Cricetulus griseus: one gene and its partner. The protein of the gene in region 1 interacts with the protein of each later gene in a biochemical or structural test. Links are inferred from orthologs where the notes say so. Each region holds a gene or a part of one and is shown in the gene's direction. Other genes may lie near its edges. The genes, in order: Atp7b and Atox1.

Evidence for each region.
Region 2: the proteins of Atp7b (region 1) and Atox1 form a complex in vitro, tested with the Homo sapiens proteins (3 studies listed by BioGRID and IntAct). The link is inferred for Cricetulus griseus from reciprocal best matches to the Homo sapiens genes ATP7B and ATOX1.

Annotation. Positions count from the first base shown.
Region 1 is NW_023276807.1:61,579,843-61,596,313, forward strand, and holds the start of Atp7b (copper-transporting ATPase 2), read left to right. Parts: upstream 1-9,339; coding exon 9,340-9,423; intron 9,424-16,471. Other genes in the region: Alg11 (GDP-Man:Man(3)GlcNAc(2)-PP-Dol alpha-1,2-mannosyltransferase), read right to left, coding at 783-1,054, 3,152-4,083, 7,190-7,420, 8,640-8,683. UniProt on the Homo sapiens protein: Copper ion transmembrane transporter involved in the export of copper out of the cells. It is involved in copper homeostasis in the liver, where it ensures the efflux of copper from hepatocytes into the bile in response to copper overload.
Region 2 is NC_048600.1:69,629,436-69,645,127, reverse strand, and holds Atox1 (copper transport protein ATOX1), read left to right. Parts: upstream 1-316; 5' UTR 317-519; coding exon 520-588; intron 589-6,622; coding exon 6,623-6,698; intron 6,699-9,838; coding exon 9,839-9,963; 3' UTR 9,964-9,973; intron 9,974-13,234; 3' UTR 13,235-13,363; downstream 13,364-15,692. UniProt on the Homo sapiens protein: Binds and deliver cytosolic copper to the copper ATPase proteins. May be important in cellular antioxidant defense.

The DNA of each region.
Region 1 (16,471 bases):
AGAATAAATTTCAAAGTGCCAGCCAATTGATTATCTGCTGTTTCTCTTGGCACTTCCATTTTCTCTGGAGGGAAGTCTTTGGCTGAGATTGGCCCAGTGCATTCTGTGCTGCTGGGAATTCAAATGTCCCTGCTCTTGTAACATACTTTGAGGCTCTACATTCTATCTCCAGCATCATAAAACAAATACAAACCTAGCAAAAATTTTCTTCTAAAGTAAAGCGATTTGAAAAATAGGATGTGGGGCTTAGGATGTAACTCAGTTGGTAGAGTGCTTGTCTAGCTTCCTGAGGCCCCGGGTTCCATCATACACTGGACTTGTTTGTGCATTCCTACAACCTTAACATTCTGGGAGTGGAGGCAGGAGCACTGAAGGATTAACACAGGGAAAGGAAGAGATTAAAAAAAGTTAAAAGATGAGTATATAAAAATTTGATAATTTTTTTCTCTGAGATTTGCATTGTTCAGATTTTGAGACAAAATACTAATACACATTAAGCTACATGAGATTACTTTTTCCATACAGCTAATTTTGTCATTTTGTTAAATACTTCCTTGTGTATATACACATTGCTGAGAATATTGCTCAGGTTGTCTTTATTACAATACAGAATGCATTTAGAAAATATTTACATGTCACGATGTTTCAAAATGAAGCATTTCCTCTTTTTGATGTTGGATATGGAATGCAGGACCTTGCACACAACAATCACAGGTTCTACCTCTGTTCCACACCCTCAGCTCCATTTTGTAGAAATTATCTAGAATGTTACAAATTTGGCATTACGTAAGTAACTTCCCCACAGAAGACAGGAATGACACTTCAAACTCCTGGTCAGAAAACCTGCTCACAGACGCTCGAGCAGTCCTTCTGATTTGAAGCCTCTTTTCTGCAGATAGAGAGAGAATATGAGCTATGGTTTCAGCATAGCCTTCTTCACTCTCCGCCAGAAATCCAGTTATTTGTCCTTCATGAGGAATGACAATGTCAAGCTTTGGGCCTCCTGAATTGTGAGCAAGGATAATTGTGCCAGCTGCCATACACTCGACAATTCCTGAGAAAGACAACAACAAAAAAATACACAAGCCTTTAAGTTTTTGATGAACACAAACCTTAATAAAACCCTGAGACCCAGAAACATTTGATTAAATATTTGTGAGTCTAGAAATTTGCTTATTTAACATGATATAAAATAAAACAATTATAAGGTTTTTTGTGTGTGCTTGCCTGTGAAGGTACCCATGCAAGCCAGAGGTTGACTTTGGTTGCTCTATTGTTCTCCACTGATTGTCCACACACTCAATGATTTTAGAGGTCACTGTTTTGTCAAGATTGTCTGGCCAATGAGCTAAAGATCCACTAGACCAGTGGTTCTCAACCTGTAGATTGAACCCCTTTTGGGGGGTGGGGGTCAAACAACCATTTCACAAGGGTCACTTAAGACCACTGGAAAACACAGATATTTACTGTTAATAATACTAGCAAAATTACAGTTATGATGTAACAATGAAAATAATGATATGATTGGGGGTCAACAGAACATGAGGAACTGTATTAAAGGGTCACAGTATTAGGAAGACTGAGAACCACTGCATTAGACTCTCCACCACTATCACCAGTGGTAGGTTCACAGGTATGCTGTCAAACATGCCTTTTACATGGGTGCTGGGGACTTAACCTAGGTACTATTGCTTGCACAGTGAGCAGTATACTCAGTGAGTTACCTCCTCAGCAACCATGCCTTTAAGCCTTTTAATCTTCAAAGTGTCATGATAATGCTGCTTTATTCTTGATTAAAACAGACAAGTAGATTGAGGTCTAATGAGCGAATTACCAATATGGAGTCAGGTGAAGATATTAGGGTATGTTTATTAGTTCAAGGTCATCCCTAGTTACACAACAAGTTCCATGCCAGGTTGGGCTATGTGAGACCCTGTCTCAATGGAGTGGGTAAAGAACATACTGCATAAAGTAGAAAACTATGCAATATTGCCAAGATGATACAGGATCAACATGTATCAAAAAGATAGAAAACACCAAAAGTAAAGTGTAAACAATCTTTGAGAACTAAAGTGTGCTGCTGCTCACAAAACACACAGCTGCCTGTGTTCAACAGCAAGGTGGAGTTGGGTAAGTTTTGGTTATTGCCTGCCACATGACGTATGTGAAGGTATAAATTACTCTATCCAGCCTTCCCTAGTTGTACTCTTTCACTTCCTTTCATAAAGAGACCTAGCAACGATGCTGTCTGTATTCACAGACTCCATGTGCTCTCTTGTAACTCAGCGCTCCATCTACCACAGTTCACCTATGCTTCTTGTTCTCTTACCAACTGATCTTTCCCTAGGACACTGATGGCCTCTTTCTTTCCTCAGTGTGCAGCCTGGGGCCCAGCTCCTTTCCTTTTTGTCACTAAGCCCCAGTTCCATCTTTGCAAACTATAGTCTGTGACAATTTCTGCAGCCTCCTTCTATCTGCTCACCTGTGCTTGCTCAGCTCTTTACTGAGGCTCCTCTTGCTCTCACTTTCCCCAGTGATCTTCGACACATCTGCAGCTGCCTGTGTCACTCTGTGTTAGTCAGGGGTCTCTAAGGGAACAGAACTGAAAGACTAAGTATATGAATTCAAGGATTTATTAGAGTGACTTACAGCCTTAGTAGGGGTTTCTAGAACAACCACAGGAACTGTGGTGGTTGAAGAATGTTCTCCAAAAGCTCATGTATTTGAATATGTGGTTCCTAGTGGGTGGAATTGTTTGGGAAGGACTTACGAGCTGTGGTCTTGGAGGAGGTGTGTCAGAGGAGCAGGACTAGGAGCTGTGGTCTTGGAGGAGGAGGTGTGTCAGAGGGGCAGGACTAGGAGCTGTGGCCATCAGAGGGGCAGGCCCTGACATTTCAAAAGACTTGGCACCATTCTCTGCCTCTCTCTGACTCCATGCTGTGGATTAAGATGTGAGCTTTCAGCTGTTTTCTGCCCCCATGCCTTTGTGCTACTAATATGGATTCTATCCCTGAAACCATGAGCGCTCAATGTTTCTTTTATAAGTTGCCTTGGTCATGGTGTTTGTCACAGCAATAGAAAAGTAACTAAGACAAGGACCTTAATGAGTATCTTGCAGCATCACACAAACTTGTTGGAAAGAAAAACTCACCAATCCCAAAATGCTCATTCCACATGGTATGCAGCCCAATTGTTGCTTCAGATAGGTAATTCTTCAATTCATCAAATGAAATGTTTATTTTAAATTCCACATTTTCTTGGACTCCCAAATTCTCAGATAGTTTTCTCAGCTGGCTTACTCGAAGCTCATCATCTTTGTTTCGACACCCTCCAATAAGGACAAGTTTAAGTGAAGGGTGTGACTCAGCTGCTTTCTCATTTAACATCTTAGCAAAGGCTTTGATCTGTAAAGCATGATTCTTTTCAGGCCTGAACTGGCCAATGGAAACCAGCAAATGTCCTGGGGTCACCTTTTTCTCACGTAAGGGGATGTCCAGAAATGTCTGCACATCACAAGGTGGATAAACAATGTTAGTGCAATGGCCAACTTTCCACAGTGAGAGAATATGGTTTAGTGTCCAAGAAGAATTCACCATGACTACATCACTGCAAGAACCAACAAGACCATAAACAAAAGCAAACAAATAGTAATAGATGAGCTTTGCTTTGCTGAGAAGAGCATTTCTGCTAATGAAAGCTGCATTATTAAATCCAGTGTTTTGATTCTTCACTACAGAGAGCATGTCAGTGCTGATAGTGGGGTAGTGGACATAGCTCCCAACTCGGCAGCCCCCTATGTATTTAAACAGAGGCAGTGTGAATGCATATCCCATTGAATCGATGTAAACATCAGGAACACGCTGTGTCAGAGCTTCCCAGCCAAGAAGAACAGATCCGAGGCTTTGGCCTAGCAATGTGAAGTGGGGATACCGAGAATCCTCCACAAGGTGGCGTTTCCTTAAGAAAACAAACTGCACTGGGTGAGTTAACTTGATGTTAAATCTTCTGACAGCACCTTCTAGTATCTGTTGACCACTGACATTAATGTCACCAGTATATACAACATAAACGGCTTCAGGATACCTGAAACAAAATGTAATTTAGGTTAAACCTAAGCCAAACATTACAATTTCCTCATAGTCACAAGCAAGCTTATTTTTATACTGAAAACATTTTCTACCCTTTTTCATTTACTGCATTTATACTACTGACTCTACCCTTCCTTGAGATTTTTACTCTTAATTTTTGAAATGACCATGTGCTGTAGTTTGATTGTCACCTGCAAATTCTGCAGTTGAAATCTAGTCTCTAGTTGAGTGGCACAAAAAGAAAGGGACTCAAAATGGGATTAATAGGAATTGTATCTTTTTAAATTTATTTTTTGCTGCTGAAGACTGAACCTTGTATAGGTGTAATGTTCACTTCACCCCTGAGCTACACTCAGACCCTTTGTGGTACCTTATAAGAGGACTAAAGGAGTCTGTTCACTCCATCACAACATCAAGATGCAGCAAGCAGTGGCTACATATGAAGTGAGTCACATCCTTTGGCTCTGGATTGTGGATTTCCCAACCTCTGGAATTACGAACAATAAATTTCTCTTGTTTATAAACCATCCAGTCTAAGGTATTATGCTACAGTCATTTGATGAGACTAAGATATCATGTCATCTAATTATTTGCCATTTCTTCTACTATGGGTTTTAAATGGAGCAAATTCCAACAGTAACTTCTGACATATGAATGAGGTTTTCACTTTTAGGAAATATTAAAAAATTTATTTTAAGTAGTTTAGCTAGAGAGCACTTGCTCATCATATACAAGGTCCTGAGTTCAACCTTTAGAACCACAGAAAATAAAAAAGCTAAAGTGTGTGTGTAGTGGGGGAGGAGTGCTGATAGAATGTGTTAGATCCCTTAGGGCTAGAGCAGCAAGCACTCCAAACTGCTAAGCCACCCTTCCAGCCTTGACAGAATCATAATTCTAAAGCATTACTTAGTATTTTCCCCCTTATTTGTAATACCTCCTTTAGAAATTAATTCCTGGCTCTGGAAACATGTCTTGTGGTCAAGAGTATTCGCTGCTCTTATAGATGACCTGGGTGCGGTTCCCAGTACCCACATGGCAGCTCATAAGGATCCAATGACCTCTGTGGGCAGTGCATGCATATCGAGCACTTTATACATGCAAGTAATAATAAGCATAAAATAAAAAATTATTTTAAAGTAGTTATAAACATATTGTTCCCTTTTTTGGTACCCCAATTTTCAGTCAGACTTCCTCAGTACTTAACTAATTCTAATGTAGCAAATTCTCTTAAACACATTATAAGTAACATACATATATATACACACACATATATACACACACACATATATATACACACACATAATTATATCCTGATTATACTAAACTACATTAATATTTATTAAATTACACAATAGTGTGTTTGTTTGTTTGTTTTTTTTTTTTCCGAGACAGGGTTTCTTTTTGTGTAGCTTTGGAGCCTATCCTGGCACTCGCTCTGGAGACCAGGCTGGCCTCGAACTCACAGAGATCCTCCTGTTTCTGCCTCCCGAGTGCTGGGATTAAAGGCGTGCGCCACCAACACCCAGCTCACAATAGTGTATTTTATACAGTGTATCCACACAAGTGTGAGGACCAGTGTTTACAACCCCTGAAGCCACATAAAAGTGGCAGCCATTGGGTCAGGTGGTGGCAGCGCCCACCTTTAATCCCAGTACTCGGGAGGCAGAGGCAGATGGATCTCTGTAAGTTCGAGGCCAACCTGGTCTACAGAGCAAGTTTCCAGGACAGGCTCCAAGGCTACAGAGAAACCCTGTCTTGAAAAACCAAAATGAAAAAAAAAAAAAAAAATAGTGGCAGCCGTGTGTAACCCCAGCACTCTGGAAGGCAGAGACATGGGATTCTCTGGGCGATTTGCAGGATTTCTGAGGTCCAGGTTCAGATACAGATCATGCTTCAATAAAAAGCAGAGAGCAACTGAGTACGACACACAGCATCAGCTCTGGGCCTCTACATGCATGAGCACAAAAGCATACACAAATGCTTGCCCAAACTATATGCTTATTTCATTTCTTGTAAAGATTGCAAATTTTTCTCAGTTAAAAGCATGCCAACTAAGGAAAAAGTTACTTGCATTTAAGACAATTTGGGGTTGTTTTTCTAAGGGGATCTGGGAATATGTTCTCACCTAGATAGGTTTCATACAAACCCCAGAGATTTTTATGTTTTTGCGTACTTTTACAAAATTATTTTCAGCTGTACATATTGGTGCACGCCTTTAATCTTTCCTTTAGAGGCAAAGGCAGGCAGATCTCTGTGGGTTTGAGGTCAGCCTGGTCTACATTCCAGGATAGCCAGAGCTATATAATGAGTCCCTGTCTTGATAAAACCAAGTAGAAATAAATAATTTTCTACACTGTTACCACACACAGACACACAAAGATCGTACCCCTTGCCCCCATATCTTATCACCTTCCCTGTCCTAACAAATCTTTTTTTTTTTCTACCTTCATGTGTTTTCTGGTGTGTGGGTATTTAACTAGGGTTGCCAGTGTGAGCACAAGTGGAGACTCACTTTTTTTTTCTTTAACAAGGGCAACTTACTAGTCCTACAGCACAGAGGACTGTAAGTCCCTCACCTCCAGCAAACATTAACTGCCTTTAGCTTCTCATGAATGGGTGGGCCCTTAGGAGTCCCTCTCCATCTAGGATGGGATGTTGAAGGGTCTAGTCTCATATAGGTTTTATTCATGTAGTTTTTAAAAAAAATAAAAATCTTTATGTGTGTTGGTACAAAGGTGTCAGATCCCCTAGAACCAGAGTTATAGACAGTTTAAAACTGCCTTGTGGGTGCTGGGATTTGAACATGGGTCCTCTAGAAGAGCAGTCAGTGCTCTTAACCGCTAAGCTATCTCTCCAGTCTCATGTAGCTTATCTGAGAAATAAGAGCATGTTTTAAAAGCTAGCCTTTTTTTCCTTTTGAGAGGTGTTTCTCCTTATGTTGCCCAGGCTGGCTTACAACTTCAGGGCTCAAATAATCCTCCCGCTTTAGCCTCTAGAGAAGGTGGGATGACAGCTGTGTAACACTGTGCCAAAACTAAAATTCACTATGCTCTTAGGAGACCAGCAGTGCAGTGTGTTAGCTAAGAAAGATGCATACCTACTTTTTCTGCAGGGCTTTCAAAGCGCACCAGAGAACTCTTTCTCCTCCACCGCCAGCATTGCAGTAAGGATGGAAAAATGCAACCACCATTTGTTCTTTTCCATTTTTGCTGGTTGAGACTGACTTTTTCTTTCTCTGTAGATGTCTCCTGACTATCCAAAGGACAATGACCAAACATACACACAGAACTCCACATATAATCAGTCCAGGAAAGAATAGTGAATAAAAAAATCTGAAATAAATAAAAGGTGAAAAATCAACCTGCTGTCAATTTAAAAATAAGGCTACAAATTACATATTTGCTTAATATCTTAGTATCAGAGAGAATTTCTGTAGCTTATAAGTCTGACAACAAAATATCCAATTATTGGATGGGGTTGGGGGTAGGTTGGGGATGGGAGAGGAGGGATGGGGGTGAGGGGAGGGAGAGGGACAAGGGACTTACATGTGAAACAAGCTTGATCCCTAACTTGAATAAATACATTTTAAAAAATGGATCAATAAAAAAGCTTCAACTGTTGGGGACAATGACAGACTCTTTAGTTTGAAGTAATAAAAGATTTTAATATTCTGGTGTAATAAAAAAATATCCAATTATTTTTAATACTCTTTCCTCCCCCTCCAGTGGTGACTGAATTCATTGCCTCATACATGCCAGGTAAACATTTAGTTCCTAGCCAATATTTACCCATATTTAAATTAAAAGGCTTTAAAGACAGGTAACTACAATCTAAAGTTATGGATTACTCATCAAATCACCGTTATAATGCAGAAAGTTAACCACTATAATGTACACAGTACACAGCTGGAGGCAACCCATACAGCAGGGGAAACAATAATGTGCTAGAGCAAATTAGCCTTTTGTTTTGTTTTTGTTACAGGGGTTCTGTGTAGCTTTGTAGACCAGGCTGATCTCAAACTCACAGAGATCCGCCTGCCTCTGCCTCCTGAGTGCTGGGATTAAAGGCGTGCGCCACCATCGAGGCAGCTGCTAGCTCTAAAATTTCAACCTGACAAAGTACAAAGGTGTTGACGGAACTTCAGTAGGCCATGATAAGTTAGGAACATCTTTTGAAATACGCACCTATAACAACAGTGCTAATCCCCGGGTGGTTAGCATTCCTATTTATTATTTCTATTCCCTAATTTTTACACAGAAAACGATATTTTATCTTTAAAATTGTATTCATAATTTAAACATCAAACGGGAAAGAGTAAGTCAACAGATGGTCAAGCAGCAGAGAATTAACCAAGCGGTTTATGAAGCAGAGAGAGAAGCGGCAACGACGGGTTAAGGAACCAGCTGCTCGGCCAGTAGCGAGGCAGGCGTAACATCCGGGGTAAACTGAGGCACGACGAAGACAGCTCTCCGGCACAGTCTAGCTGGGCTTCCCCAAGTACGTCCACCAAGGAGGGGACACCCCGTGAGTGCAGGCCACCAAGCTCCTCACCTCAGCAGCGTGTAAAGGCGCCAGCTCCCGGTGTCCGCCGCCATCTTGCCCACCCACAACCTTGCAGCCCGGAAGCGCTTGGCTGTTCTTCTTCTCTATTGGCTCCAGCGGAAGCGTGCGATATAGCCACGCCCCTCCTGCCAACACGCCTTCCTACGGGCTGCCAAATAGCCGCTTCCCACATGGGCCCGCCCACTTGGGCCGCACCACAGTGGTAATGGGCGTGGGGGAGCCGGGGGCGTGGCCTGTGATGGATAAGTGGGTTCCCCTGACCTCGACCCCCCTCCCCCCGCAACCTTCCAGTCTGGAAGCCCCCTTTCGGGCGTGCCGCCCCGCCCCCACCGCGGAACTGGCAGCCAGTTGGGACCCAATGGGAGGTTCGGGCGGGCGGCGAGCTGATCGCCCTGTACAGAGTCCACTCTTGCGGAGGTGGCGGCGGGTCCCCGGCGGCCGCAGTAGCGGGACGCGGGGTGGAGAGGGGGCTGCGCGGGAGCCGGCGTTCTGCGGCTGTGGCCCCGGGCTGCATCTCCTCCCCAGCGCACCGCGGACCTTGCTGCACCGGGTCCGCAGAGCCGGGGCTCGCTTGTCAGAGCCGTGTGGTCCCCAGGAACCGCTCGCAGATGCGCATCTTCGCGCCTCCTCTCCCTGGCTTGTAGAGTCGCTCTTCCCTCCCCTGACCGGGTGACCTTTGGGCTCCGGGATGGATCCCAGGAAGAAGTTGGCGTTTGTGGGGACTGTGCCTGAGCAGGAGAGGCAGGTCGCGGCTAAAGAGGCCAGTCAGAAAGTAAGTTTCCTTCCCCAGATCCGCGCGGTGTGCGCACCTGCCCGAAGCGCTTTCCTCCTCGGTTCCTCCGGGACTCGTGCCTGAGGACACGTTCCCCACAGAGCCCGGCTCTGGGGGTGGTCTGGGAGGAAAGCCGTCTAGATTGTGTGTGCCTCTGGTCCTCTGGCGTTCAACCTTTTCGAGACCGGCACTTTTCTGGGAGTTGAGCGTGGGGTTGCTGTGTAAAAGCGCTAGTTGCCCAGAACTAGTTATCTGGGGGTGGATTACTCGTCGCCTGGTTTCTCATAAGGTCTGCACCCAAGTTCTGTAGTTTACAGGCGTTCATTTGAGTAATACAAGCAGCTAATTAATTCAATCTCTTAAAAATGCAAACAGTACAGATATATTTAACAAGAAAAGCAGATCTGTTTTCCAGTTCTTTTTTTCACGTATGTCTCCTGTCCGCAAATATTACTGACACTTGTAGGTCTCAGGCATGTGAACAATTCTTGAAGGTTTGCGTGTTTGTTTGTTGCTTTAGAATATTTTGCCTTGCCTAATTGGAAGCACGTTTTATATTCTCCGACTTTTTCAGGTAAGTATATTTTGGAGATTATTTCACAAAGTGACATAGGTGTCCCCATAGTCCATTGGTGATTCCCTTGTGGGTGGTCCTGCTGGTTGCTTTCTTTCTTTCTTTCCCCTTTTAAGTTGACATGATCTTTGCACTTGAATCGTTTAAGTGTGTGTGTGTGTGTGTGTTTATTATGGAGGTCAGGGGCAACTTACTGGAGTTCTTTTTCCACCATGTGAACTGAACTCAGGTCATCAGGCTTAAAGACAGTGAGCCATCTTGCCTTATTTGTACTTGAATTAAAAAAAAACATTATTTATTTTATGTATGTATGGTGGGGGGAAGGTGATCAGGCTTGGTGACCAGTGACTTCACCCACAGAGCCATTCAGCTGGTCCTATATACTTGATGTATGTATGTATGTATGTATGTAGCAGCTTGGTCCTTTTGTACAGGTCTGTGAAGTTAATTTATCCAGCAGTTTTATTGAATGTCTCTTGTTAGTGAAATTCATTTAGATTCTGGTGTGTAGAAATAAAAAGGAGAGTTGGTTAACGGGTGGGTAGAGAGAGAGAGAGGCTGGTGAGTAGGTAATTCTTAGGGTGTGAAAACAGCATTTGATCCATGGCATGAAGACAGCACATACTGGGTAGGGGTGGCCAGAGCAGAGGAGGAGACATGTCCTATCTTTTGCCCTGTCCCCATGAGAGAGCAAAGTCTTTATCTAACCAGATGAGATTCAAGACCTGTGCCTCTCCTTGGAGCGGTTGGTTAACTGCTCTGGCCCATGTTGACCTCACCCTCTTGTGAATTACACTGATAATGTCGTTAGCCAAAGTCACAGCTGACTATGTGCTACATGGTGTATTTTAATTTCTCTGTGTTCACTCTCTTATTAAATTCTCACAACCCATTCCCCTTTCTGTCTTTTTTTCTGGTTTTTTTTTTTTTTTTTTTTTTTTTTTTTTTTTTTTTTGCGGTTTAGAAAATCAAATCCATTTTATGTAGGTCTTTTGCTCTTGATGCTTTGATATAGGCTTTGTTTTAATTTTATGCTAAAGACCTACTTAGGGGCCCTAGCATTCCACCAGTGACTACATCCCCAGCTCCAACCCTGGCATTTGCTGTTATCATTCTAGTACCATTTTTCTGCTGTCCAGCAATTGCCTTTTTGAGTACTGTGTAAGAAATGCTGAGGTCTGAGGATCAAGCTATGACTTAAGACCTTTTCTTTAGGGAAATTGCATTCTCATAGAATGGAGTAGGGAAGGTGATTGTAAACAGCAGGGTAGGTGTTGAGGGGCTCAAAGGTCCTTGGACTTGCAGAGAAGCACTAAGAAAACCAGGAATGTTAATGAAGCAGGGGTGTCTCCTCAGGGGGAAAGATTAAAATATAATATCTGAAAAATGTATATATGTGTGTGTGGAATATATATATATATATATATATATATATATATATCTCATCCAGAAAAGCTGAGAATGGATATTGCTAATGATCTGGTGACCTTTTTACTTTTTGCTATTTGTGGAGGTAGACCTCTCCCAAATTTCTCAGAACGATTATCCTAGACTCTTTAGATCTTTAGATCTCTAGATCTTTTAGATCTAAAGATCTTGAGATCTTGAGGTCTTTAGATCTCAGTGGAACCCACCTTGAGGGGGGAATGTCACATGTGTTTTATGGCCTGCTGACCTCTATGCTATCCCAGTCAAGAGACCACACTAGACTCCTGGCTGTTTAGCTATAGAACCCACCCTCATGGTCACATGTATCTTGCAAAGGTATTTCTATATAGTCACATCTTAAGCTCTGTTGTGTACTTGGATTGAAATGATTGTTGCTTGGAAATTTTTTCCCAAATGTGTTTTAAATATGCTGACAATGAACTGCCTGGCATTAGGTCCTTGTCAGCTTCCCTGCCTGGACACTGGATGGGGAAGCATAAGGACAAAGAAGACTGTTTTGGTAGGTGATCAGATAAGACTTCCAGAAGTTCCACTGGAATACAGATCCAAGTGATTCAGGTTTCAGGCCAGTGTTCTGGGCCGAAGGCAGAAAGTGTCCAAGTTCTTAGGCACACGTGTGATAATAGGAAATGAATATTTGATCTTTGTTCTGGGTTCCTGACCAGAGCCAAACCCTTGGGATTTCTTCAGGGAGAGTAATAGGAGCATGTTTTATTGTTCACAAGGAGAGCCTTTCAAAGTTACTGAGGTCTGTTAGGAGGCAGACCTTGATGTGCTTTTAGGTGGCTTGAGAATTGGGTCTGGTCCCCAGAGAAACCAGCCATGTGGTTTGGGTGTTAGAACCCTTTCTCTCACCCCTCCCATGAGGTGAGAGACTGAAGACTAGTCACAAATGACTAATGATTTTATTAACCCTGTCTATGAAATGGAATCTCCATGAAACTCCTAAATGATGAGTTTGGGGAGCTTTCAGGAAGTAAACCTTGTGAAGATTCTGGGTGTGTGGGTGGCCTGTCTGCAGAAGGCATTGAACCCCTTGCTCTATATATCTCTTCCACTGGGCTGTTCTTGTGCTTCGCCCTTTGTTATGTATGTCCTGTGAACTGTTGTAGTGAACTATCTATCCCAAAGTTGTTCAAGACCCTGACTTATAGCTGGTCACTCAGATGGATGTTCAGGTGCCCATGCACAACAACACTTACTAGAATTAGTGACCAGCCTTTGCCCATGGGATCTGTGCTAACTTAAATGCACTGCTAGAACTGCAAAAGGCATCCAGGTCTTGTTGGTGGGGAAACTGAGGCAGCAGTTAAAGAACTTGATCAAGGAAGCTTGCTAATAAGAGCAAATTTAGTATTTGGTCCTAGGTCAGTCTTACCAGCTTTCTCCAAAACACACTGTCATTGGGACTTCATAGTACTTGGTCATAGCATCTGGTGTTACTGAACTAATGGTTTGGCTTAATTTCGCAACTCCTGGGATCAGACTTAACAACATTTCAAAAGCATATCCTTCACAGTATGCTTTCCCAGTGCAGAGTAGGTTGTTCAGCTGCTACTCCAGAGACCAGGGAAGTCCTAATAGCAATATAGGTGGTAGTTAGCTCTTAAGTGTATGGGTGGCATACAATTAGCCGGGCATGGTGGTGCACGCCTTTAATCCCAGCACTCGGGAGGCAGAGGCCGGCAGATCTTTGTGAGTTTGAGGCCAGCCTGGTCTACAGAGTTAGTTCTAGGACAGATAAACATAGAAACCCTGTCTCAAAAAAACAAAACAAAACAAAACAACAACAAAAAACCCAAAACAAAAAAATCCAAAAACCAAACAACAACAACAAAACGTCAAAACCAAACAAAACTCTACAGGTGGTATTGAAGGGAGTGAGAATATTTAATAATATAGTTCTATTCCTGAGATGGGGATCTTGGTATGTAGTGCTGGCTGGCCAACTACTTACTGTGTAGCTCAGGCTGGTCTAAAACTTACGACACCCTCCTACCCATTGCTGGAATTATAGGCACGAGTCACCATTGTGGGTTTCCTTCTTTTCCATAGTTTGTAAAGGTGTGCTTTAGTTGTTCAAGAATGAATGAATTATAGCATTATTTCACCCATTGTGTTTTCTTCAGGGGCCTCTCTGTGGGGTAGTAATTACCTGGTGATTTACTTGTATTATAGGTGTACACTACCAAGACTGGCTTTTTATTTTGTGTTTATTGTTTTCTTTATAGTTTTAGTTTCATTCATTCATTCATTCATTCATTCATTTTTTTTACAGATTTCTTTTATTTATTTTTAGATGGATGAGTGTTTTTTGCCTACATATATATCTGTGTACCATGTTAGTGCCTGGTGTCCCGAAGAGAGGTAGATCTCCTGTAACTAGAGTTACAGACAGTTGTGAGCTGCCATGTGGATACTGGGTATCAAATCCGGGTCCTCTGGAAGAGTAGCTAGAGCATTTAACTACTGAGCCAACTCTACAGCCCCGTAGCTGGATTTTAAATGCTTTACTGACAGTCATTTCAGAGGGTGACCATGGTGGTGACATGGTCGCTGCTCACTGATAACCACAGCACCAATATCAAGGACGTATCCTTGGTCAAGTGACTCGCTATTGTTCCGATATAAATGAGAAAAAAAAATGTTACCAGGTGAAAATCTGATAGTGCCTGTTAATGTTTATTTATTTGTCGTGATGTTGGGGATGGAGGCCTTATACACATTAGCTGCACCCTAACTCTTTTGTTTGTTAAACTAAGTTACAGAAGAAAATAGCAGTTCAAAGGTGGATGCAGCAGAGCAGAGTGGAATAGCCTTATTTTTCTTTGTGTGGCTAGGGGTATGTCTAGTGTAGTGATAAACACTGTGACCAAAAGCAACTTGGGGAGGAAGGGTTTATTCAGCTTACAGTCCCACATTACTGTGGAACACTGAGGGAAGTCAGGACAGGAACTCAAACAGGGCAGGAATCCAGAGGCAGGAGCTGATGCAGAGGCCATGGAGGGTGCTGCTTACTGGCTCATTCATCGTGGCTTGCTTTCTTATATCATCCATGGCCACGCACCCAGGGGTGGCACCACTCCCTATGGGATGGGTCTAACCACATCAATCATTAATTAAGAAAATGCCCCACAGGCTTGCCATAATTGAGTTTTCCTCTTCCAGAATGACTCTAGCCTGTGTTGAGTTGACATAAAGACCATCGGGGCAAGATGGAACCCAGGGCTTTGTGCTTGTACACAGAGCTAAACCCCTAGCTAAATAGTGATCAGAAATTGTGAAATCTGCCCTTTCAGAATGTAAGTTATGCTGGTGCCAAAAAGTCAGGCAACTGTGTAGCTGGCTCTGCTAGCAGTTTGTTTCTTATCTCAATGTGCCTTTGACTTGCCCTTTATCTATCTGGTTATGACCATAAAGACCGTCACCTTTTGTAGGAGGGACCCTTGGCTCAGTCTTGTCTCTCATTCTCAACAAGTGACTTCCCTTCTTACTTTAAGGAAACCACTGGGGGTGCTTTCTCCAGCTTTTCCTCCTGGCTCTACATGCCCTGCCCCCCACCAATTTTTATTTGGATCTACAACTCACCCCACCCCCTTTCCTTTTTTTTTTTTTTTTTTTGTTCTTTGAGACCAGGCCAGGTCCTGTAGGCTGGCCTTAAACTTACAGTCCTTCTGCCTTATCCCCCTTCATGTCACCATGCTGTACAAACTGCTTTTTCTCCTGACTTGGAATCAGAGGGCAGTTCAGCCTTCTTTTCAAAGGTCATGCTCGACCTTTGACCCTCCTGTCTACCTGTCTGGAATCTAGAGGACCGATTATCCTCTCCTAGCCTCCGCCTCACTCTGCCCATGAAGCCATCTATTGTGCTTTCGTTCAGAAGTCTCTCCGTTACCTTATGCCTTCCCCTAGCTATTTTATTTGTATAGCTATGTCCCTCCATAGAAAGAGTCTGCTGCGTTTCCTTGTTTCCATTCTTTGATCCCTTTGCATTTTCTCATTTTGTCAGTTATTGGATATGAAAGAAATACATATGAACATCTATATCCAGTTATAAAATGTAATACTTTAGGTTATGTCTCTGTACCTCACCCGACCTAAGAATAAGAATATTGGGACTGAGGAGATGGCTCGATGGGGAGAGAACCTTTGTGCAAGTGGAAGGACCTAGTTATTAGCACCCATGCAGGAAGCTGGGCATGGCAGTGGTTGCAGGTTAACCCAGCATTGTGGAAGGTAGGGGCAGAGACAGGCTGATAGGAATGGGCTGACCAGCCAGCCCAGCTAAAATGGCTAGCTTCCATTGCAGTGAGAGGGCCTGTCTTAAAGGAGAAGATGGAGCATGACAGTGGAAAACATCCCATGTCCTCCTCTCACATGCATGCACCATGTTCACAAGACATACACTTTTATCTCCTGTATTAGTCAGCGTTCTCTAGAGAAACAACTGATAGAACAGCCCCCCTCCCCCCATAAGGAGGATTTATTAGAGTGGGTTACAGACTGTGGTCCTATTACTCCAACACTGGCTGCCCCCCAGTGGAGAGGTCAAGAACCCAATAGTTGTTTTGTCCTCAAGGCTGGATATTTTAGGTCTACAGTATACATCAGAATCCTAAAGAAACACGCCCTAATACTAGTAAAGGAACAAACTTGCCATTGAGAGTGAGGGCAAGTGGACAAAGAGCAAGGACTTTCTTTTTCCATGTCCTTTATATAGGCTGCTGACCCGTCCCTCGAGTCTAGTCATTCAGGGTTCCGAAGGGGGGCTGCCTGAAAGAGTCATGGGCGAGAGAAGGGAAGGAGACCAAGTGGCGCAAAAGAGGGGACCAGAGTCCATCTGTGCAATTGTCAAGGTCTTGATTTATTGGGCTCAGTGTGAGCTTATATAGCCCTGCACCAAGGAAGTTGGGTAAGTGGGGAATAACAGGAAGGAACATCTGGTGTATGCTGGGGCCAGAGAATTCTTCTTATCAGCCGGAACATCTTTTCGTCTTCCCAGGAACAGCGAAAGCCCCAGGCCCT
Region 2 (15,692 bases), on another chromosome or scaffold:
GGGGCGGGGCCAGGCTGTAATTCAGCCGAAAGGGACGGGAACTAAGCAGAGCCTCCCTCAGGGGCGGAGCCTTGCCATAGCTGAACCCGGAAGGGGCGGGGAGTAGGCGGAGCCCAGTCCTAGGGCGGGGCCTAACAGTAGGCTGGGTCGGCTTGAAAGTGGGGCTTCCAGGAACGCTCTCCGGAAGCGCCGCATTGCTGCCCCGGGAGAGGCGTTCCAGTCGTAGTCGCTGCCGCCGCCTTCCCAGCCTGTGCCGCGTCAGTCATGCCGGTAAGTGGCCTTGCCGCTCCACCCGTGCGAACCGTTTTCTCCGGCCCGATGCACCGCTGCCCGACCAGACGCTGCTATTAGGGCGCGTGCCATGGCCGGAGCTGCAGTCATGCTTTAGTTTACTCTCCCTCCGCACTCGCCCTCCAGCTTCGCGACCCTCGGGAAACCTGTAGAGAGAACTGTATTGCAGAATATAGGCCTCAAGATCGCTCTAGAGAGTCAAGGAGCAGCCCCAATCTTCCCTGCACGATGGAGAAACTGAAACCGGGAGGTAGGGCAGAGAACCCGCATCGGGACGCCGGTACCTGCCCTTTCCAGGTGCATGCCCCTGCCGCCGAGCTAGTAGGTTTTCAAAGAAGTAGGTCTCTCCACCTCCCCTGCCCACACTGGCCTGCTTCCACTTCAGCCCTGGGCAACCCTGAACCGAAAGGATACTTTCCTCCTTTCCAGCCAGGAGTTCCCAAAGCTCGGAGCAGAGTTTCCAGAGCCAAGAGCAGCGCTTACCTTGCCTTTGAAATCACCCACTCCTGTGCATGGTGGTTTCTAGCCTCATAGCCTCATTGCTTATTAATAAAGGCCTTTGGAACATTACACAAGATAAGAAAAAGCCCAGTGTTTGTTGGAGAGTATTTATTGGGCGCTAGTTGGGCGCTAGGTAGATAGGATCCAGGATGAAGCCAGATCACCTGGGAAGTGCTGGGCAAAACCAGTTGTACTGCTTGCCTTTGAGCTCTGATCTGTGTTGAGTTCCTGAGATAATGGTTAGGGCCTTGGAGTCGGGAGCATTTTTCTCCTGGTGCCTCTGAACCCAGTGGGCATATTTTAGCGGGCTTATCGTCTGTGAGTGAACCAGAGGCTCCCACCTGATGCAGACTTAAACATCTCAGGTGGCACTTGTGGTTCTTACCCTTTGTCTTGAGAGACTTTTCCTCAGATCGCACAAAGCACAAACAAAAGACTTGATAAAGTCCATCCTACCAGTCAAGCCAGTCTGTCCTGCAGTGTGAGGCTCATTCATAACCCTGGGATCCCAGAGTCAAGGCTGCCAGGCTCTCCTGGGGAGAGCAGTGAAGAAAATAACTTGCAGACCCCTCTATTCTGTGTCTGCCTCTGGGGACTTTCATTGGAGTGAGGCATATAGTAGACACCTTAGCTCAAGACCAACAACTAAAGGTATCTTTCAAGTGCCGCCTCCAGTCTAGCCAGGGGAATGAGTTTTACCAAAGGTGGTTTGCATGCCAAAGCTTAACCCAGTCTATGCCCTATGGCTTGCCAGCTGGGCAACTTCAGGCAAGATGTTCTGTCTCTCTGTGTGTGCCTTCCATCTCCTCATCCATAAAATAGGGATTGGAAACTGACCTTGCAGGGCTGTGTTTGGTATTAACTAGAATGATGTCATCAAAATATCTAACACAACTAGTGACCCATCCGGTCCCCAAGGAGTGGTGTACCTCCTGTGTAGATGTAGGACAGGCTTCCACCCCATTTTAACGTGGACCTCAGTGGTTAAAAGTTAGAGTTTTGTGTACTCTGTCCAACCCAGGCCCTGTTACTCATGAGCTGCATCTCCCTGAGTCAGTACCCAACCTCCAAGCTTCAGCTTTCTCATCTCTTGGGAATAGGAAGAGTTTCCTGGCTTATGGAAGCATTGTAGCTATCAAACAAGACAGTGTACAAGGTGTTTAGAAGAAGGCCTGGCACATCAGAGATAATTAGATATTAGTAATCAGGAATCCAGACACCAGTGTCCAAAGACACAATGTTCTCTAGAAGAACTTCTCCTCTTCCATTCCCACTGTTCCAGTTCTAGAGGGTCTGTTAAAGAATTGTACCACTTACCGGCTCTCTGAAGTAATACTGTATGTAATAATACATAATACATAATACAGCGTGTTGCCGTAGAACATTAATATATACGTCAGAGGATCCATTTTGCTTGTTTTCTGTTACAGCATCTCACACTGTAACTCAGGTTGGCCTATAAGTGAATATGTAGCCCAACTGATCCTTGTAGCAATCCTCCTACGTAGGCCTCCCAAGTGTTAATTTGGGGCCTGTGTATGCTCTGCCATTCTTCCATGACCCTTTTGTAAGAGGCACTGGGGAGACATCCAGGGATGGAGCAGGTCTTGAGATAGTCCTGTGAAGACTGGATCACCCTATCCATTAGGCAGAACTTTCTGTCATCCTCAGGTGTAAACTGCAGAGTTTGTAGGCAGAGGTGTAGGGAGTTCTGAGTTGGAGTGGAGTGTTGGCCTCCTGTGAGCTGCCCACCCCCCCACCTCTGTACTGTGAAAGACTTCCTTGTTAGGGTCTTCAGTTTGGAGCTCAGATAACTGTTGACTTTAGATCCCTGAGCAGCAATTACTTATCTTCTGAAACCCCCTTCAGAGATTCTTCTCAGAGTCAGTTTGTGGAGGATGGGCTGTTATAAAACCAACAAGATTTCCCTGGAGCAAAGAAAGCCTCTCTAGGGCTCCTGCCTTTGCACCCATGGCCTCATCACCTTAGTGACCTCCCAGCAAGAGGAAATGAATAGTTCTGTTTTCAAGCTAGGAAAATACTGCAGAAAGGAGTTTGAGGGTGGTAGGATGGGTCAGCTGATAAGGATATTTGTAGCAAGCCTGATAGCCTCTGACATCCACACTTACTCAATGGCACACACTCACACATGCAAATAAGTGGATAAGTATAGTATACTTATTATCTTTTAGGTTTATTTGTGTGAGCGAGAGTGCATGCGCACCATTTATGTGCAGAGATAGAAGAGCTTCAGATTCCCTGGAGTTGGAGATACAGGTGGTTGTAGTTCAGGGAACCAAACTCAGAACTTCTGGGAAAGTACAAGTAGTCTTAACTACTGAGCTGTCTCTCTAGCCCTATTTATTATTTGAAATGAAATATTTTTTATTATTTATTTAAAAATTAGTTGTTTTGTTATTGGGGGGGTGGGGAGATTGAGACAGGGTTTCTCTGTGTAGCCCTGGTTGTCCTGGAACTCACTCTGTAGACCTCTGGCCTCGAACTCAGAGGTCCGCCTGCCTCTGCCTCCTGAGTACTGGGATTGAAGGCATGCACCTGGCTTTTATTTGCTTGCTTGTTTAGGTTTTTCCGGGCAGGGTTTTTCTGTAGCTTTGGAGACTGTTATGGAGCTCGCTCAGTAGACCAGGCTGGCCTCGAACTCACAAAGATCTAACTGTCTCTGCCTCCCGAGTGCTAGGACTAAAGGCATGCACTGCCTAGTTCCTGCTTTTTTTTTTTTAATTATATGTATATGTGTTTGTCTGTGTGGGTATGTGTACATAAGTGTAGGTGCCTGTGGAGTCCAGAAAAAAGCATCAGATCCCCTGGAGTTAAGAGTTACAGGCTGTTGTGAACCTGATAATGTAGATGCTGGGATTCAAACTTAGGTCCTTTGGAAAAGCAGTATGTGTTCTTAACTGCTGAGCCATCTCTCCAGCCCCCAAATGTAATTTTCAATATCATGTGCTTGTAGCAAGTGTAGCCTAGTTTATTTGGTAGTGCTGGAGATTGAGCCTAGGGCCTTAGGTCATGGCAGGCAAGCTTTATACCACTGAGCTACAATCCTTCAGAAGGTAATAGTGCTAGCTGCTCTTGCAGAGGAGCCAAGTCCAATTCCTGTCACCACAGAGCAGCTCACAGCTACCTCTAATCCAGTTCCAGGGGATGCTACATATCTGAGTTCAGGGAAGTCCTGGTGTGCACAAACTCATGAAGGTACACACATATACACATAAAAAGAATGAGTAAATTTTTTTTTTTTTTTTAAGAAGTATGCTGGATACAGCGGTGCATGACTTTAATCCCATCACTCAAGAGGCAGAGGCTGGCAGATCTGTGTAAGTTTGTGGCCAGCCTGGTCTACATATAGGGAGTTTCAGACCAGCCAGAACCTGATGCCACAAGTGGTGTGTGCCCAAACATGGTGCATTAAAAACATTGCATGAAATTACCTTCAGTCTGTATGTATAAATATGATTTGTGTTTAGACTCTTCCCATTCCCAAGATATCTCATTATGTGTATGCAAATATCCTCTAATTAGGGACATTTCTGCTCCCAAGCACTCAGGTAAGGGATGCTCAGCCTGTCTTAGAGCAATTTTGATGAGCTTCATGGAGAAAGGTGGGCACTGAATTTGAGTATGTTGTTGGGCACTTGTTTATACAGTACTTGGGATTCTGAGGCAGGAAAATCGTTTAAGGCCCAGGGTGGACTGCATAGTGAGTTCCAGGCTAGCCTGGTCTACATTAATGAGATCTTGTTCTCAAAGCAGCACCTACCAAAAAAACAAAACAAAACACCACCAAAAGAAGGGAGAGATAGTCGTTGTTTTGTTATTGTTTGCAGTGCTATTACTGGTGGTTGGGGTCTGGGCTGGGTGTTTATATTTTTTAGCATCTCATTCAAAGAATTAAAATGAATTAAAGGTGTGTTCCACCACCACCCAGCTAGTGCAAGTGATTTTAATCATATGCATACCCAATTATGCATAGGCATAGGTGGCAAATAAGGAATTCTCTCTAAAATTTCACTTTGAGGACAACTTGCTTCATTTTCCATGCACTCCAAAACAGTCTAAGCCTGATCAGTCCCTTGCTAGTAGATTCCGGATGGTGGTTTAGGATGTTTGAATGGAAATGGGAAAATTGGGGATTGCTGAGGGGAGTAACTTATTTCCAATGCTTAAAGCAAGTGTGGGGGTCAGTCTTGGGTTGCTAACAGGTTGCTAGGTTCATGGTCAAGAGACAGGTGTGTATAGTCCAAGCCATTCCTTATGCTTGGCTGTCTCAGTACTGGGAAGTAAATCCCAGGGCCTTGCACATGCCAGGCAAGCAATATACCACTGAATTACATTCCCATGGCCTGAGGAAAAAATTACATTGTTTTTCAAAAGGAAGAGAGAAATGGAAGAAAGTAATTACTTTCACCTAGAGGCACCTAGTCCCATGATCTTATTGACTATCTATTGTCCTTTAGTTATCCATTGTCCTTTAATACTTATCCCCAAACCTAGAGTCAGGACCTGGGAGTGGCTAAGCAGAGTGACTAGGCTTGGCTTAGGGTCTCAGGGAACAACAGTGTAGTCCAGAAGCTTGCCCAGGCTGTTGTACTCCTTGACTTTGACCTTGGAGACTTTGTTCCTCACCAGATGGACCAAGGGTTGAATAGTAAAGTGTCTTTAGTATGGCAGCTAGCTTGTTCCAGAGTGGCCCAAGAAGGGAGCAGGGCAGAAGCTGATATTGTGACCAGCTTAGTCACATAACGGTACTCCAGCCTTATGTTGAATACACACAGGCTTACACTTCGATGTTATAGAATGAACTCTCAAGGGCATAAATACAAGGAGGCAGAGAAGATGGAGTGGAGGTCACGGTGGAGCTGGCTGCCATGTCAAACCCTGTGTTTGTCCCATTCTCCAGCATGGAGAAGGGACTGGTACCTCATGAGTTAAGCTACTGAGGTCATACAACTTGCAAGTGTTGGAGCCCAGATGTTGTCATTTCCAGTTATTGTGAAGGAAGGGATTATTGGCACAGTTCTTCTCTGAAAAAACCAAAGGCCCAGAAGTTGTCCGGTGATCATGTTGGTCATCCACTCACTCCCCTGTGCCTGGTGCTGTTCCCAGTATTTGGGGTGCAACAGTGAATATTTGTACTTGAACAGAAGCATAGTCTTGTGTACCCTTGCCTGCCTTGACTTGTTAGATATCATGGTGATCCAGGACCTCAGGAACCTGGGATTCCCTTATGTCTGCCTCCAGTGTGCTGGGGACCCTGGGAAATCCTTCTGCTACCTTTGAGCATGAGGTACTTGAATCAGAGCAGTGGTGGCCACATACCTGAGTAACCTGCCTGCTGGCATAATCGATGTCCCCATCCAGGCTGCTGAGCAGACCTACAGCCTGTGTAGAGTCCCTGGTGACTCCAATGTAGAAAATAATGTTCTGATATGGAAACAGGTCCCAGATTAGTTCTGCTGGGAGTGGGGTAACCTGTGGCTGAGTCCCCTGGTCCTGAGGCGAAGCCCACAGCTCACTCATGAAGCAGTAACATTGTGGGAGGATGGGAAAAGAGCTTCTCCCACAGACCTGGATCTGTTCATCCTATACCAGACCTTGCAAAAGGTATCGTAGAGATTGTCTCTGTTGGTACAGCCTGTGACATACAGAAACCCTGCATCCCCCCCTCTTATCTGTTGACTAGACTGGGATCACAGACAGACTTCCAGTGAGACTGTGCCCATTCTCTGCTCCCTGCCAGCCCCTGACTAGCCCTCAGACAATGTATGGGTCACTGCAGCGCCTGGCTCATAATCTCCCTTTCTTGCAGAAGCACGAGTTTTCCGTGGATATGAGCTGTGAAGGATGTGCTGAAGCCGTCTCCCGAGTCCTCAACAAGCTGGGAGGTGAGCATCTGTCCGTTGGAGAGAGGATGGGGAGATGGTTACATGGGAGTTATGTTCAGATACATGAGGCCTACAAGGATTGACTGCTGGTCAGCTGGTACTGAAGTGTGTGGAGGGCCTAGTGCTCACGTTGGCCTCTGCTCAGTGGCTTATGTGGAGATGTCTTGTACCTCACTGCAGCCACTTCAAGTTTCTTTCGTTCACTACACTCCTCCCCTCCTAGTTTATTCTTTCTTTCTTTCTTTATTTTTTAAGACAAAGCCTTGCTAAGTAGGCCTGGCTGTCCTGGAATACACACCATATAGATTAGGCTGCTTCTAAATTTGTGATAACCTGCCTCTGCCTTCTAAATGCTGGAATTACAGACATGTGCCACTGTGCCACCATATGTTTACAACTCCATTTTGTTCATTTTTTCACTCCTCCCCCTCCATCTCCGCTCCTCCCTCTCCCCTCCCTCTTCAGGGTCTCTGTAGAGCCCAGGCTGGTCATGAACTCCACCATCCAACCTCTGCTTGAGATGCAGGCACATACCACCAATGAGCAGTGGCTGTCTTCCTTTTATGAAGGCAGGAACTATTCAGAGAGTTCAATGACTTGACTGGATTCACAGAGCCAGCAGGGCAGAACTGGGATCTGGCTTTACAGCATCCAGCTCCAGAGTCCTTGAGGTGGTGGTTAGTACGTTGGTGATCTCTAGTGTGATATTTGGATTAACAACAGCCAGGCAGGGAGATGCTTTCCAGTAAACCAGAAGTCCAGGAGGATCAAAAGTTTAAGGCCAGCCTGAACAATTTAGGGAGAACTTATCTCAAAGTAAAAATGACCACAGGAGGGAGGGGGTATAGCTCAGAAGTCAAGTGCTTGCATAGCAAGTGTGACATTCTAGATCTAATCCACAGTACTACAATAAAATAAAAATAATAAGTTTAAGCCAGGCATTGCATTGGTGGTACATGCCTTTAATCCCAGCACTCAGGAGGCAGAGGCAGGCAGATCTCTGAGTTTGAGGCCAGCCTGGTCTACAGAGTGAGTTCTAGGACAGGCTCCAAAACAATACAGAGAAACCCTGTCTCGAAAAACCAAACCAAACAAAATAATAATACTAACAAGTTTATAAAAGCAAAGCAAAGTTGGGTGTGGCAGCTCACATCTGTAATCCCAGCAATTGGGAGACAAACTAGGCATTGCCTGGACTACAGAGTGGTACCCTATCTCTACAGATCATAAATAAAACCTAGGTAACAATACCACTGCATGTTGAGACTGCCCACATATCGTCAGTCCACAGAGTGGGACTTTACGAGGTGGAGAGGGGTTGATGACATCAGTGCCCAAGGGGAAGGGCCTTGCCCAAGTCCCACATTGAGAGTGAGTCAGTGACACAGTGAGTCGTCTGAGCTTTGTAAGCTAGAATATCTCCTTTTATGTTTTGTTTTTGTTTTTAAGACAGGGTCTCCCATTGTAGTCCTGGCTAGCCTAGAACTCACTATGAATACCCCAGAGTAGGCTTCAAACTGTTTCATAGGTGTGTCCAGGCAGGCTTGGGTGCACTGACTATAGAATGGTAACAGCATTGGGCAGGCAGAACTGATCCCCTGTCCTTGGAAAGATTAAGTCCATGAGCAGATGCAGAGACCCACACACTGGGAAGACTGGGGAGCTGTTAAAAAACAAGGGACAAAACCGGGCCTGTCATCACAGGAAACCGAGACAGGAAAATCATAAGCTCGGGCCTCCCTGATGTGTAGATCAAGTTCAAGGCTACGCTGGGTAACTTAGACTGCCTTAAAATAAAAAGTATAAAAAAGGCCTGGGGCTGAAACTCAGAGTGTTTGCTTGGCATGTTTGATTCCCTGGGTACCAGTAGTACAAAAACAGGGGGGAAACGGTTGTAGGGGAGGACGGGTCTTCAGTGGTAGGATACACATGTGAGACCCGAAGGGAGAGGGGGCAGGGTGTACAAGCACTTGATGACTCAGTGGGTAAGGGTGTTTGCTGCCAAACTTGTTTTAACTCCCAGGACCCATATGGAAGGAGAGTGCTGTCTCCAAGTTGTCCTCTGACCTTAACACATGCGTTTTTGTTTTGTTTTCTTTTTTTTTTCTCACACTCACACACATGCATACACTCAACACATGCTCTCATTTATGCTCACACTCACACACACTCACCCTCTCACATGCTCACACATGCTCATATACAGATTCTTTCACATACTTGCTAACAGATTCACACATGCTCTCACTAAAATAAATGTAACAAGAATTTGAAAGAAAGGGGCTGGAGAAAGAGTTGAGCACTTGTTGCCCTTGCAAAAGATCCTGGTTCAATTCTCAGCACCATATGGAGGCTCACAACCATCTGTAACTCTAGTTCCAGGGGATCCAAGGGATCCAATGCTCTCTTCTGACCTCCATGAGTACCACACATATGTGGTACACAGATACACATGCAAGGAAAACACACACACACACACACACACACACACACACACACACACACACACACATATGTAAATCTGGGGCTGGAGAAATGGCTCCATGGTTAAGAGCATGTTCTTCTCTTGCAGAGGACCTAGCACCTACATCTCATGGCTCACAACCACTCACAACTCCAGATCCCATAACCTCTGCCCTTTAGGGCACCAGCACTCTTGAACATGCCCACACAGAGAGCCATACACATATACATAGTTAAAAAATCATTTCAAATAAAATTATAAAGAAAGGGAGGGAGGTGGGCTCTGTATTTCTGAATTGGAAGGATAGCTTGAGCACAGGAAAGTGAGGTAGCGATGGCAGGTTTTGGGGTGGGAGAGCTGGATGGGAGGAGGGAAGGAAAGGGAGAAAAGAGAAAAGAACTCAGGGCTGAGAAATAGCTTAGTAGTGGAGTGCTTGCTTGATGCTTGGGGTCTTGAGTTCAATCCCTTACACACAGAGAAGAGCCTGTAGCAGAGCCTGCCTGCCTGCCTGCCTGCCTGCCATGCTCACAGTGCCTGAAACAGAAAGAGCTTGCTGCTGCCTGGCTCCAGAAGGGCCTGGTGTTACAGGGATAATTAAGGAGGATGACCTCTTTCTTCCAGTGAGTGGAAGGGTCCTGCTTCCCCCTCCCACATCCCAGTTTCCTTCTTCCTGTAGGAGTGCAGTTCAACATTGACTTGCCCAACAAGAAGGTCTGCATTGAGTCTGAGCACAACCCGGACACCCTGCTGGCAACCCTCAACAAAACAGGGAAAACCGTCTCCTACCTTGGCCCCAAGTAGCCAGGACCTGGTGAGTCCCTCTGGATGTGCTGAAGGGGTAGGTGGGTGAGGCTCCAGCCTTTCTTGCACAAGCCTGTTGCTTCTCCAGGGGTTCCGTGGGTTGCAAATCCCTCATCTGAAATGCTTGGGCCCAGAAGCATTTCAGATTGCAATTTCTCTGGGTTTGGAATCTTCACCTAAACTCACCCATAGGGCATCCATAATAGGAAAACTCTAAATATTTTTGCCATCCAGTTGTCACTCAGGAAGTTCTCATTTTGGAACACACTGAAATTTGGGTTTCTGGATTCGAGGTGTTCAGCCCACTACCCCCCTATGGAAGGGTCACAAGTACATCATTATTGTCCAGTACAAACCAGAAGCTCAGGCGTCTTGGTGGCCACCAGTGAATAGACAGAGCTCCCATGTTATATCCCCAGGGTCCCTTTTGGGACTTGAGGGGCACCTTGCCTGGTCAGCAGGGTCTAAGTTTAGAGTATCTGACCTTCTTGGAATGGTGAGCCTCTTGCTTTGGTGAAGTGACTTCCCCTTCACAGTTGATGCCTGTGTTCTGAGTCTTGTACTCCTGTACAAGAGTTCATACTCAGGTGGGGTATTGATGGAGCAAACCTTTAAACCCAGCACTTGGGAGGTAGAGGCAGGCAGATCTCTGTGAGTTCAAGGCCAGCCTGGTCTAAAGAGCTAGTTCCAGGACAGCTTCCAAAGCTACACAGAAATCCTGTCTCAAAAACCAAAAAAAAAAAAAAAAAGTTCATGCTTACCCTGCCCTTTCCTTCGGCTTGGAGCTGGCTGCCCCTCTAGCCCAGCCTAGTGCAGAGTCAGTGACCCATCTAAGCTGACTTCCTTCCGCTTTACGGGTCCCAGGGAGGCAGGAAATGGCCCTGTGCCAGTGCCCTTCCCTCAAGAAGCATGACAGACCTCACCTGGCCACCCAACAGTCCTTCCCACTGTACCCAGCAGTCCTCCTTCCCTCTGCATTGCATCTGACCCATGAATTATGATGGCCACCTCTTTGGTGGTTTGTATCCTCTCTGGAACTGAGAAAAATGAGACCTGGTGAAGGGACATGACCTGACCAGAGCCCAGGCAGAGGCTGGTATGAGCTAGGCCTCCTGTGTGAGCATTCTCAAGTGATGGATAGAATATCACTGACCCTACAAGTGACTCATGAGAGCCCTTGGCAGGGGCCAGCTGTAATCACCTGGGGGTAGGAGGGTCCCCTTTGAGTATTGCCTCCCTCTTCCTCAAATGTGAGCATTTGAAACCCAAGCCATGTGTTCTGTGTTACATGGTGACATCCAGCAAATCAAAAGACATGGATGAGCAAGTTAACAGGAGGCTAAAGCAGGAGAGGAGGAACAAGAAGCCAAGGCTAATGTGGGTTACACAGAGACACCCTGTCTAAAAAAAAAAAAAAAAATTAAATAATAATAATAATAATAATAATAATGCCAGAAAGAGGGTTTAGCAGGTGAAGGTACCTGCTGCCAAGCCTGACAGCCTGAATTCCATCTCCAGGACCCACATGGTAGAGAGAACTGAATCTCTCAGGTTGTCTTCTGATTGCCACACATTCAACGCATGTGCGCAGATACACTAAGCTTAGACAGACAGACAGGAGCCATTGTTCCCCATGCCTCTTTAGTTCCTGGATTTGCTTCATGACCCAGGAACAACCAATGTGAACAGCAAGCAGTCTAGGGTTCAGGTGCCAACTCTATTCTCAGTCCAGGCATTTTTTATTTGCCTGAGACTTGATCTGTGAAGTGAGTGAACCCCTCCACTCTGTCCCACTGCCTTTTTGGGTCCCAGTGCAGCCTCTTTAAGGTTTGTCTTCTCTGGGATGATGACACCAGCAGTTTCTTCCATGCTTCAGACCTGCACATCCAGCATGGTCCCTGCATCCCTGGGTTTTGTGGACCAGGTGAGGGTGGACCACTGACTTCTGTCTCTTTCAAACAACCCTATTGTGTGTCGGACCTCCATGTATAGTTTTTCTTTGTTTGGGTTTAGTTTGTTTTATTTTTGAAAAATCATTTTTTGAAGCAGGGCCTCATTGTGTAGCACAGGCCATCTGGAATTTGCAACAATTCTGCCCTGGCCCCTCAAATGCTGTGATTCCTGGCGTGAGCCCCCATACCCAGCTTCTCCATATAAGATTGTATTTGAGGGCCAAGAAGATGGCCCATCAGGTAAAGACACCTGTGTGCAAACCTGGTGACCAGAGTTTGATCTCTAGAACCCACGTAAAGGTGGAAGGCGAGAGCAAACTCGTCCTCTGACCTCTACACCCACACAACACCCACACACACCACACTAATGAAAATGTTCTGTTTAATTTTGAAAAAAAAAAAAAAAACAAAGATTCTATTTGATAAGCATGATCTCTGTGGGGAAGGACTGGAAGGAAGAGTGGTCGTGTCAGCCTGCAGTTTGGACACATAGTCTAGACACAGAAACTCTTGCACATACAGTAGCCCCTGCTGACAGCAGTGTGACACTTCCAGCTTCACTTTGTGGCTTTTGTTATCAAGGTGAAAATGGAGTTGACATGATATAGTTAGCTGTGATTGTGGGTGCCATTCATTAACACTGTGTGCATTCACAGCGGAGCAGTCACACTGTGGTACCTCCTTCAGAACATTTTCATTATCTGAGGAAAACACCTCATGTCTGTCAAGCAGTGGTTGTCCATCACCCTCACTGCTTCCTCTGATGCCAGTCTGCTGCTTGCCACTCTGGGCTAGCCTGGAGACTTTCTACAAAAGGAATCCTACAGTGTATTTGTTTGCCTGCTTATTTGAAATAGAGTAGCCTAGGCTATCCCTGAACCAAAGATTTACTGAAAATGATCTTGAATTTCTGACCATCCTGTCTTCACCTCCCCAGGCTGGAATTACAGGCATGTATCACCATCATTATGCTTATTTTTGTTGTGCTATCGTTCTTGTTTTAAGGTTTCATGTAGCTCAGGCTAGCCTTGAGCTTCTACCTCCCCAGTGTTGGTATTACAGAAATCTGCCATCAAGCTCAGTTCTGACTTTTTATGGTGGGAGGTGTCAAACATGTTTAAGCACTATATATAGGGGTCAGCTCCTGCTCCTCACCCAGACCCAGAGTTAGCAGATCTAGTTACTTTGTAGCCTACAAAGTTTCACCTGGGCATACACTGATCACCATGGGCAGTACAGAGAGGAATCCTGAGATTGAGGTGCTATGTTTCCTATTCACAGTAGGTGGTGCCATTGATCTAATTTTCCCTCTCTCCTAGGCTGTTGATCTGGTCTCCTGGCAGATTTGGAACACCAACTTCTGTCCAGCTCAGCCATGCCCAGACAGACTCTCCCTTGCGGGCTCCCTGCCAGCTTCCTTGCAATAAAGTCAAGCTGCATTTGTTGAAGAAGTGTCTATTGCGTGTTCTTGGTACTGCTGGCTCACCTACAAGCTGCTGTTGTGTTTGCCTATGTTTCTAGAACCTCCCACTGGCAGTCAGGTGCCCATCTCTTGTCCACTCTCTGCTGTGTGATCTTGAGCAGCCCACTGCCCTCTTTGGGCCTTTCTGTAATGGGAATATCATTAGACCAGATCAATGATTTTCTTTCTTCTCACTACATAGACTCCATATTTGAAAAGCTATTAAGTGACTTGCATTTAAGAAATGAAACTCTGAAACAGTTAGATGGGAAGCTGCTGAAAAAAGGCTGCCCCAGCAGGGTTCAGCTCTAGTAACTCCTAGCTGGTCTACTTAACCTCTCAGCACTCAAAGCCTGAGAGAAAACCACACTTTTGGCAAATGATTGTGATGGTTGTGACAAAATGAACAAATTAGTGTGAACTATTTGGAGTAGAGAAATCCTCCGGCAAGCATCCACTACTTACTTTTATGTATTTCATGGATGGAGGCATGGCAACCCCTTAAAGGGCAGTGCCTTTACAGAGCTGCTTGGTGAAGCAAAGGACTGTTCTGGTTTGTGTAGCTTTAAGAAAAACAGGGAGGTATTACTGTTCCCTGCTGTGAGGCAGGGAACCAGAGAGATGCCAAGATGGACCCCAAGACCATGCAGGACACACTTGGTGTCTGATATGTCCTTGAATATTCTAGACAAATTTCAGAACATGGGGAGAATTGATCTGAACAAAGTCATTGCCTCATGACCTAGACCTGGGTGGGGGAGCTGGAAAAAGGAAACCACACCTCACAAAAGACGTGGCATCTTTTTGCCAAGCTACACTGACCAGAATTCCAGTAACTTAAGCCAGAAGAAAACCAAGTGGCTTTCTTCAAGTGACCATTGTGCATAGGCAGGTTTGTAACATGTTTGTTTCACTTGCTTTTATAAGACAGGGCATCACTGTGGCCTGGAACTCAGAAGCACCTCTGCCTCCCAAGTGCTTGGATTAATGACATGTACCACCATGCCCAAACCTTAAGATTTATTTATGAGTATGTATGTATCTTTGAGTGTGTGTAGGTACCTGAGGACACCAGAAGAGGACATTAGATCTCTTGGAGATAAAGGCAGTTGTGAGATCCCTAAGGTGGGTAAAGGAAGCTAAATGTGAATACCCTGGCATTTACTGGGCACTCAATTCTGCTGGACCTGGAACAAGATTAGCTCAGTCCTTAGCCAGCCATGACCTTGGACTAGTCAGTTAATCTCTCCTGTGGAAAGTTTTTTCATCTGGACAATCACAATGCTTTCACTCTAGGGAGCTTGGTAGCCAGAACCAAGACATCCTTTCACTCCTTAGCAGAGGCACTAGCCTAATGTGCTGAAACACAACCATGATACAGCACTCCCACAGTGAAGACAAAGGATCTGAGTGCAGGGCAGGCCTCAGATACAGAGTTTAAGGCTGCCTACCAAGTGTCAGGCCTTTGTGGTCCCTTAGGGCCCAAGGGCCTCTTCTTCCCAAGCCTCCTGTAGGTGTTTTTTAACCACTAGATGGCAGTATGCCTTGGATTTGGTCATCCTGAAGGACAAAATTAAGGAAGCACTGATCCCAACTAGAACAGAAGAGGCAAAGATCCCTCCAAGGAGTCCCTAGCCCTAAGATGCACCCCTATCTCAAGCCTGGTGTGTTTCCAATGAACTAGGCAGCCTGGACCAGCTCACCTCAAAACGGAACCCAAGTTTAATATCTTGTGTCTTCCTCAATTGTCATTTGAGACAGGGTCTCTACTGAACCTGGAGCTTGACAACTCCAGCTAGAGTGTCTAGCCAGTGATCGTCCACCTTGCTACCTTTCGTTTGGTTTGGATTTTTTTTTTTTTTTTTGAGACATGATGTTGCTGTGCAGATGGTCTCAACATATCCCCAGTTGCTGTTTTTTAAGATTTATTTTTTTAAGTGGGTGTATATGTGTTTCGGTCTGTTTGTCTGTGGATATGTGCCTTGAGTGCAGGTCACCTTAGAAGCCAGAGGCATTGGATCCCCTGGAGTTGGAGTTACAGGCAGTTGTGAGCCACCTGATGTGGGTACTGGGGATTGAACTCAAGTCCTTTGAAAGAGCAATGTGATCCCTTTAACCACTGAGCCATCTCTAGCCCCTGTTTATTGTGTTTTTGAGACATAGTCAAGGAGCACACTAAGTGGTCAAAGATGGCCTTAAATTTATGGACCTCCTGTCCCACGTGCTGGAATTGCAAGCATGCCCCACCATGCCTGGCTTATGCAATGCTGGGGATCAAACCTAGAACTTTGTGCATTCCAACCTAACCCCAGCCT